Saccharomyces cerevisiae S288C: one gene and its partner. The main gene of each other region encodes a partner of the protein of the gene in region 2 in a complex. Each region holds a gene or a part of one and is shown on either strand. Other genes may lie near its edges. The genes, in order: GID8 and VID28. A codon is read from its position in the direction of its gene.

Evidence for each region.
Region 1: the proteins of VID28 (region 2) and GID8 are in contact, whole or in part, in a cryo-EM structure (PDB 7NS3), measured with the Saccharomyces cerevisiae proteins. Residues at the interface, in NP_012247.3 of Saccharomyces cerevisiae: Asn15 (codon at 3,451), Leu17 (codon at 3,445), Val18 (codon at 3,442), Gly19 (codon at 3,439), Asp20 (codon at 3,436), Gln21 (codon at 3,433), Leu22 (codon at 3,430), Lys24 (codon at 3,424), Asp56 (codon at 3,328), Tyr59 (codon at 3,319), Thr60 (codon at 3,316), His63 (codon at 3,307), Gln68 (codon at 3,292), Phe77 (codon at 3,265), Asp78 (codon at 3,262), Ser81 (codon at 3,253), Lys106 (codon at 3,178), Ala112 (codon at 3,160), Tyr115 (codon at 3,151), Pro116 (codon at 3,148), Asn117 (codon at 3,145), Cys118 (codon at 3,142), Gly119 (codon at 3,139), Phe120 (codon at 3,136), Leu123 (codon at 3,127), Ser141 (codon at 3,073), Cys143 (codon at 3,067), Lys144 (codon at 3,064), Ile145 (codon at 3,061), Val148 (codon at 3,052); in NP_013854.1 of Saccharomyces cerevisiae: Glu151 (codon at 1,677), Asn154 (codon at 1,668), Leu159 (codon at 1,653), Glu160 (codon at 1,650), Leu162 (codon at 1,644), Glu163 (codon at 1,641), His194 (codon at 1,548), Asn232 (codon at 1,434), Ile236 (codon at 1,422), Lys237 (codon at 1,419), His299 (codon at 1,233), Pro300 (codon at 1,230), Arg301 (codon at 1,227), Gln303 (codon at 1,221), Phe304 (codon at 1,218), Ser307 (codon at 1,209), Asn308 (codon at 1,206), Lys322 (codon at 1,164), Ile323 (codon at 1,161), Ile324 (codon at 1,158), Phe328 (codon at 1,146), Thr329 (codon at 1,143), Val330 (codon at 1,140), Tyr331 (codon at 1,137), Asn332 (codon at 1,134), Asn334 (codon at 1,128), Leu335 (codon at 1,125), Val336 (codon at 1,122), Asn337 (codon at 1,119), Gly338 (codon at 1,116).

What each region holds. Positions count from the first base shown.
Region 1 is NC_001145.3:537,930-541,653, forward strand, and holds GID8 (glucose-induced degradation complex subunit GID8), read right to left. Parts: upstream 2,128-3,724; coding exon 760-2,127; downstream 1-759. Other genes in the region: ERG29 (Erg29p), read left to right, coding at 1-622; GAT2 (Gat2p), read left to right, coding at 3,270-3,724. UniProt on the Saccharomyces cerevisiae protein: Component of the GID E3 ligase complex recruiting N termini and catalyzing ubiquitination of proteins targeted for degradation.
Region 2 is NC_001141.2:317,473-322,974, forward strand, and holds VID28 (glucose-induced degradation complex subunit VID28), read right to left. Parts: upstream 3,494-5,502; coding exon 728-3,493; downstream 1-727. Other genes in the region: 60S ribosomal protein uL2 RPL2B, read left to right, coding at 1-460; SNL1 (Snl1p), read left to right, coding at 3,982-4,461; aspartyl protease BAR1, read left to right, coding at 4,870-5,502. UniProt on the Saccharomyces cerevisiae protein: Component of the GID E3 ligase complex recruiting N termini and catalyzing ubiquitination of proteins targeted for degradation.

The DNA of each region.
Region 1 (3,724 bases), on a different chromosome or scaffold from region 2:
AATAAGTGGTAGGATAACTCTCTTTTTGATAGTGGTTGGTACGCTTGCATTTTTTAACGAACTGTATATAACGATCGAAATGAGTCTTCTACAAAAGAACACATCAGAAGAACTAGAGCGTGGAAGAATCGATGAAAGTCTGAAGCTTCATCGGATGTTGGTGAGTGATGAATATCACGGTAAAGAATACAAAGACGAGAAAAGCGGTATTGTTATTGAAGAGTTCGAAGATCGCGATAAGTTTTTTGCAAAACCTGTGTTTGTATCAGAATTGGATGTCGAATGTAATGTTATTGTAGATGGGAAAGAACTTCTGTCCACCCCATTAAAATTTCATGTTGAATTTTCTCCAGAGGATTATGAAAATGAAAAAAGACCTGAGTTTGGTACTACCTTGCGTGTATTGAGGCTGAGACTTTACCACTACTTTAAAGATTGCGAAATATATCGCGATATAATTAAGAATGAGGGCGGTGAAGGGGCAAGAAAGTTTACGATTTCCAACGGTGTCAAAATTTACAATCATAAAGATGAACTACTGCCATTGAATATCGATGATGTTCAATTATGTTTCCTGAAGATTGATACGGGAAACACGATAAAATGCGAATTCATACTATGAAAGCTTCCAAAAAAAAAAAAGAAAAATCAATTGCTAAATGCATACATGCAGGTAGGCACACACACACACACACACACACACTCACTCACACATGCACACGCACACACACATATATAAATATATACGTACTATGTATGTCAGTTTTCGACCCTAGGAACCCCTATTTGGTTGTGATGAAGCTGATTTTCGCACCAACACCACAGTTTCATTATCTGCGTCAATCTTGGTTCATAGGGAAATTCGGAAGAGTAGTAATTATTGAATTCTAAACCTTTTTCCTTTCCATTTGAAGAGGAAAGCAATTCAGAAGTTTGATTCCAGTAATTTTTATTTTCTAAGTTATGAAAAGTTGTCGCCGCTGAACCTGTGCCAACATTTCCATCCCTTTGATTTAGCCAAACTGAATTAGCAGCAGCCGTGACCTCGTTGCTTGACATCTTTTCGTTGATAGGTTGGTCAGACGAAATGTGAGTTATTTTTGTACCATTTGAACCATTGACGAGATTGTTGTTATACACCGTGAAGTTCTGCGTAATTATTTTCTTGTCGGAATTTAACAAATCTGGAAATTTGGAATTATTATTGCTGATCTCAAATTGAATCCTTGGATGAATAAACTTCAGCAGCTTCTCATTAACCAGATCTGCTATCTTAGATCTTAGAGATATCGAGTACAGATTTTGTAACGATTTGGGCAGCTTAATGCTGCCGCTGTCCGCCGAATCTGACAAGGGGAAAAGCAGCAGAGTCATTGCTAATTCTAACTCTTGCATCTTTTTGACACTTGACGAAGCCTTTATTGCAAGTTTATTTTGAGAATACTGAATTAGATTGAGTATAAAGTCGTTGGAATCCTTGGTGATGTTCTCCTGTTGATGGTGACTTCTTATCATCTCGATCAAATTCAGTAACAGCAGTTTGAAGTGTAAATCTCCATCTATGTCAAACTGCTGCTGCTGCTGCTGCTGCTGCCTGTCAGTTCTACCCGTATAACTTCCCGTAGCATTGAAAGTCTCTTCCAGCACCTCCAGCCCGAAGATAGAGTTTATCTCCTCCATCGCCTCATTGATACGCCCCAGCTTAATAAGATGTTTGATATGGAAACGCTCCTTGATCTTGTACAAATCATTGAAAACCGCAATGTCTTTGTTGTTCCGTATAAATCCCAGCTCCTTGGCCATCCTAATGCTCGAGTCTTCATATGCCATAGAAACAAAGTAGTTCAACAGAAGCCGTGGCAGTGTGGGCTCTATGGGTGTGGTCTGTATGGTAGCAAATCCCTCGTCCTGCGAGCCGCCACTGCTGTTGGGCTGAATTTTCAGCGGATAATGTATTGTCTTATTTGCATATAGCTCGCCCATGGCAGAATACTTGGCCACCTGCTCCTTCCATTCTTCCTTCGTGAAGCACTTCTTTCCATACGTAAAGTCTTTCCCACCATTCTTGCCTTGGCCGCTGCAAGATCCGCTCTTCGTGGTCTCGTTACTAAGAGTAGATATAGTCATTTCTATTTGTTACCACACACAAATATATCTTCATCCGGCTGATATTTGTCTCTACTGCCCCTTTGCTTGCAATTTAATGACCAAATTACACATGTTAGCTTCAAGAAAAATGATGTACCATCAAAATGTCTCCTGCAACGAACCGGGGCACCGCGCCGGCAGAGTCAGGAAAGCGAGATCGACACTGATAGTGATAAACAGCAACACAATGGAGCGATTACCATTCACTCGGAACGGATCCGGACAACAGTCAAATAAACTCCGGGATCCCAAAAAGGGCCGTACACACAAACCCAAGCCGAGCGAAAAACACAAAAAAAATAAAACAGGGAAAAAAGGAGCGCAAGAGAAAACGCACAGGAGTAGGAGCAGCAGAAAGGGGAACTAATATGGTTTTTCCGTTTGCTTATTTTTATTTTTTTGTTGAGTCATGGGCACGTCACCGCACAACAGCCGCCGCAGGCCTGTACCGCTACGCGTCTATCACTGCGAAACATCGCTACTTCTGTCGCCGCGTCGACGCTGGTCCAGACCACAAAAGGATGCACGATCAGAAGCACTGTACCCTGCAGAGTTGGAGATAGTGTAACCGTGACTTCATTTTTCAAGCGTGGTTTCACATTCTTTTTGCACCGCCCTTATCTCAGATATAGTTTCGTTCGGTTGCTTTGCTTTCCCCAACTGAAGGTGCTGGATGGCGGTTTTTCCGGCTGCTGCGATTTTCCCTGCGCGGGGCCCGGCGCGGAATTGTGCAAAAGCTAAAACTCAACGGTTATTTTGAAATATAAGGTTATAAGCAAATTTCCTAAATTTGCTTAATTGTTAATGCAGTTGTTATTGCATTAAGACATTCGGCTATCGTTTCCTTTCTTCGTGTCGGCAATCTTGTATAAAAGTTATTTTTTGAGTTTCAGTTTCTTGTATATCTTGGTATATATTGAAGGAGGATTTTTTCTTTCCTGGTCCTTTTACTTCCTTGCGTCCCCTCATATTTCTTCTATTTCCGTTCACGGCGTTTTTTTATTTTCTCCATCTACTTTTAGTGATTTCCTTTGCTCTAATATTGTTTTCGTTCATAGTGAATTGTTTGTTTTCACTTTAATAAAGGGCTTTTACGACTTGTCTCAAAAAATTTCATCGAGATGCAAGCCCCCAATATCTACCCCTTCTCTCAAACACAGCCACAAGCACTGCCCGGGTTCACATACGGTCCTCCACAACTTGTTTTTGACCATTCTGCTCCGAGAGTAGATCCTTTGCATTCTACTGTAACTATAAATTCTCCATTACCCTTGCAGCATTATAATGGACCGAATGCCCATATAAACAGCGCAAACAACAACTACGCATACTACTATCATCATCCCAACAATAATGATAACAACAACCATAGTAACAACACTATAAAAAATAACAACATTAATTCTGTTCTTCCCGCCGTTAATATTCAAATATCCAACAACTCACATTATAGAAATACACACCAAATTCCTTCTGCTCCTCAGCGGCTGGTCAGCATCATACCGGATCCCCACATGCCGCCCAATATTTCTCACTTTCAGCTAAATAATATTCACCCTCAAATGCATGCTCCTGT
Region 2 (5,502 bases):
GCCATTGGGTTCTGTCCCAGAAGGTACCATTGTCTCCAACGTTGAAGAAAAGCCAGGTGACAGAGGTGCCCTAGCCAGAGCTTCTGGTAACTACGTTATCATCATTGGTCACAACCCAGATGAAAACAAAACCAGAGTCAGATTACCATCCGGTGCCAAGAAGGTTATCTCTTCTGACGCCAGAGGTGTCATCGGTGTCATTGCCGGTGGTGGTAGAGTTGACAAACCATTGTTGAAGGCTGGTCGTGCTTTCCACAAGTACAGATTGAAGAGAAACTCTTGGCCAAAGACCCGTGGTGTTGCCATGAATCCAGTTGATCACCCTCACGGTGGTGGTAACCATCAACATATTGGTAAGGCTTCTACTATCTCTAGAGGTGCCGTTTCTGGTCAAAAGGCTGGTTTGATTGCTGCCAGAAGAACCGGTTTACTACGTGGTTCTCAAAAGACCCAAGATTAATCTTTTTAATTTTGGTTTCTTCCTTCTGTCATATTATTTTATCAATTTTCTTAAATATTATATAATTTAATCCGAAACGTTCCTTATAAAGTGATATTTCTATGCATACTTTTTTTTCTTTGACATGAGAATAAATTCAGCCAGCTACTTCCTATCACAGAAATTTTAGTTAAACGTAAGCTTGCAGTTATGGATTCTTCTGCGAAAATACTATTTAAAAAACTATAGCATAAATTAATTGTAGGAAATACTACGAGTTCTGTGCATTCATTTAACTTTCAAAAGCAGGTCCATGTGATATAGTAACGTTCTGGCCTTTTCCCTGACAGATAATGATTCGTCTGTAATATTTTTTCTAACCAGATCGTATAATCCTACCTCCACGAGTTTTCTACATCTTTCCACCGTGGCACGTGTTACTTGTACATTTGATGTACTACCTTTTGCAGCCGGGGTGCGAACGAACTCATCGCCTTCATCATCACCCTCATCATTATCGTCATCTTCATCATCATTCGCATTGCTACTGCTATCATCGCCATCTGGCTCATCGTAGTATTTCCCCCTAGAATATCCACCAGCCACTGATTCATTATACCCGATTGTCACCGTAGATTGAGGGTTTTCTGAATCACTTGGTGAATGCCCTGGTTCCAGACCATTTTCAATTGCATATTGGGTATAATGTGAAACTGATGAATTCCAAAGTAAGTTATTGAGTACCCAGAGGCATGCCAATTTCAGATTGCTGTCATTACCATTACTTGAACTATCAGTCGTTGTTTCTACCAATATTTCACTCATAATGTTCAATATTTCGTCTTGTTCGATGACTAGCTGCTTTTTATTCTCATTGACTGCCGCTAGATTCACGATAATATATAGGATGCCTTCCATTGCTTTCTTTTGTTGAGTGTCTAATGGATTTAAAAGCCTCATCTTCTTTGCAAGAAATTCGAAAAGATACGTTGAGCCGATGCTAATTTTATTACCTGTTTGAGGATCGATCTTGTATTCTACATCTTTAAATTTTTCCAAAAGAATATTTACAATTTTCCTTGAATTACAAGTCAAATTTCTGAGCAACTGAAAACATTGGGCTTGTACTGCCCAACATGGATCATTAATAAAATCCAAAATTAAATTCATCGGGATTTTGGCCAAAAGCTGAAACTTCTCTTCATTCTGGCAATTGTACATTAGATGCCTTAGTACCCATAAAGAGTTTGCCTTCACTTCATGCACAGGTATGCCTTGCAATGCAATCCTTCTTTCATCTTCATTATCGTCCCAGGCTTTTTTTGAGTTAAACAATGGATCTGTTAACATCTTTTCAATTATATCGATTATACCGTTTCTCAGCATAAATGACTGTAAATTAGAGAACTCCACCACGAAGTTACAAATACTACCCAGAGTAATGCCCATAATCATAATTTCCGGTTTCATAAAATCTTGTCCAGCAAAATAGCATTCCTTGGTCAACGTATATGTTTTACTTAGTATCTGTAAAAGCAGCTGTGCAATTTTATTTCTCTTCAACGTCGTCCTAAGCGCTGAAACACTTCTCGAGAATGATTTCAACAATAGTAACCAAGCTGCCACGAAATCGTGATCATATATTGGGGGTAAACACATAGAATGACTTTCCGTAGTTGTTTCCTTTATCTCATCTTTCAAAGATATAAAATCCTGTATCAAAGTAATGTGGGATTCCAACCCGTATTCTAAATGATTCAACAACAATGTGTCATTCAACAGTAAAAGACGGTATTTTTCGTCCGATGCTGCAAATGACGCACATATTTTAATGAATTTTGTAGTTGTTTTCAAAGTAGCTTCATTGTGTTGTGGTAGAGAAAGACACTGCGCAAAACGGGATAGAATGCAAAATATAACGTTTGTATGAGCTAGCGTGGTGAGCACAGGATTATTCATTGGAGTAATTTCATTATACAACACAATCAATGAATCCAGCATATCGAATGGATCAAACCACCAAGGCAACGGGTCATAATTAAATGACTTAACTAAATAGGGTAGTATTTTCTCGAGTGTACGCGTATCTTCCCATTTCTTATCCTCTGTAAAGTACGGTTGTAACAAAAACTTCAGGGCCACGCACCTAATGTTAACGTCATTACTCTTCAAAAGACCCAGAACGAACATCTTGAACGTCGCATCATTCCGCAGTTTCCTATCACCCGGTATCATATAATGATATCTTAGATATAGAAGGAGTGCCAATGAGAGTAAACTAGAATCATACATGTTTGAGATATTGATTTTTTTAGGTATGGCACGGGTGCAGTCGACCCCTTTATTGTCAAACGGATCGTTCTTGACGCTGGATGGTGACGCTGGCCTGGATACTTTTAGCCTCACTATATACTTGAGGCTTATTTGGTCCAAGTACTTCGATGATATTTTAACTATTATGTGTTCAAGGGATTCTGCCATTTTAAAATCTTGGTAGTGTGAAGTTTCTGTCACTTCTCTCTCTTCCTCCATAAACTTGCTCTTGTTGAAGTCGCTGCAATTTTTCTCGTCCACAAGTAAAAACAACTTCAATAATTCAATAATCGTGACCACCTCATCAATTTTACATTTGCTCCTCAAAAATTTATGGTTGACTAACTGGATGAACCCGTTCTGGAGGTATTGCAAGTCTGGGAATCCGCAATTTGGATAAACTCCTGCACACAAATTTAGAAGCTTTATGTACTTATAGTTTGTCGAAGAATTATTTTTAGTAAAACTGCTTGCCAAACTCATGGACTTATAGATTGCGGACACAATATCAAAGTAATATGTGCCTACTATATCCCTTTGTTGCGGTTCTAGATGTAAAAGGGTATATAGCAGATCTAATTTCGCATTTTTTAACTCTACACCGTCACTTTGCTCAATGGACAACAAACATTGAAAAATCTGGCACTTTGGAGCCAAAAAGTAATCTACCTTAGCCAACTGGTCTCCCACCAGGGAATTACTAATCTTTTTGAGATTCTCTAGGGAATAAGCCACCGTCATAGTGTAACTGTAATATATCACCAATCTAACACGAGGGCAATGATACAGGAAAACTGCAAGTTTCCGCCATGAAGATCATCCTCTTAGGCCGCAGTTTGTAGTGATATCCCTATAAAACGTATTATAATCTAATTAGTTTAGTTCGCGCCCCTTCAGTCTAATCACTTATAACGGATGACGAATATAAGGTCAAAAGCTTCATACACAAGCAAAACCATTTATGCTACCTGCAATTCAATCGGCAAGCATGCTTTTTCAAGAGCGCATATGGACTTGAAGGAGAGCCATAGCTAGAGGGGTTTTTAAATGGAAGACTTGTGCTCATCTAATTCAATTTGCCTTTACTATCATTTGGTCGATATTGAAAAAAAATATCGCGAACTGACATAACCAGTAGAAAAAAAGATGGAATCAGCTCTGTAGTGCTGGTTTCAATCCTGTTTGTTGGTGAAAAAATAGCACCAGAAGGGCAATTGTACGTTTCCGTAATGTCGCACAACGCAATGGAACATTGGAAGAGCAAGCTGAGCAAAACAAGTACCTCGACGTACGTCCTCTTGGCCGTGATTGCTGTTGTATTTTTGGTTACAATCAGAAGACCCAATGGCAGCAAGGGAAAAAGCAGTAAAAAGAGGGCTTCTAAAAAGAACAAGAAAGGTAAGAATCAGTTTGAAAAAGCGCCGGTTCCTCTGACTCTAGAAGAACAAATTGACAATGTGTCGTTGAGATACGGCAACGAGTTGGAAGGTCGTAGCAAGGATCTAATAAACAGATTTGATGTGGAAGATGAAAAGGACATCTACGAGCGTAACTATTGCAACGAAATGCTTTTGAAGTTGCTGATTGAGTTAGACAGTATCGATTTGATTAACGTGGATGAGTCCTTAAGAAGGCCGTTGAAGGAAAAAAGGAAAGGCGTCATAAAGGAAATTCAGGCTATGTTAAAAAGTTTGGACTCTCTTAAATAAGTTTGTATTTTTAGTTTATAGATAACGGCTCTTGCCGAATTCATAGGCTGCACTCATTCCGGTACGGTACACATTTGTTGCATTTATTATATTAGAGATGCGTTGTCCCTGTTTTTCTACCTCCGACATCATGCTGAAACATGGCATGTAATTACCGTAAAAGGAAATTACATGGCGAGTGTCACATAATAGCGACAATAACATGTATACACAGCCAGCTATTCTGAAACACACCACATTATAGTTATTGAATGTGTGTGTTTTTTGATAACAGTATAAAAGTGAAGAGAAAGCACGTCGAGCCTTGTCATGATGAATTCTTTAATGATCTTCGCGTGATTTAATTCTAGTGGTTCGTATCGCCTAAAATCATACCAAAATAAAAAGAGTGTCTAGAAGGGTCATATAATGTCTGCAATTAATCATCTTTGTTTGAAACTTATTTTGGCGAGTTTCGCGATTATTAACACCATTACTGCTTTAACAAACGATGGCACTGGTCACTTAGAATTCCTTTTACAACACGAAGAGGAGATGTATTACGCAACAACCTTAGATATAGGTACACCGTCCCAAAGTCTGACAGTGTTGTTTGATACCGGATCTGCCGATTTTTGGGTTATGGATTCTAGCAATCCCTTCTGCTTACCAAATTCAAATACGTCATCCTATTCAAACGCAACTTATAATGGCGAAGAAGTTAAGCCTTCAATTGATTGCAGGTCTATGAGTACTTATAATGAGCATAGATCTTCCACCTACCAATATCTGGAAAATGGTAGGTTTTACATCACATATGCTGACGGAACATTTGCTGACGGTAGTTGGGGGACGGAAACTGTATCAATTAATGGAATTGACATCCCCAATATCCAGTTCGGAGTTGCCAAGTATGCTACGACACCCGTTAGTGGTGTTCTTGGAATTGGGTTTCCTAGAAGAGAGTCCGTTAAGGGCTATGAAGGTGCTCCTAATGAATATTATCCTAATTTTCCTCAGATTTTAAAAAGTGAAAAAATAATCGATGTGGTCGCGTATTCG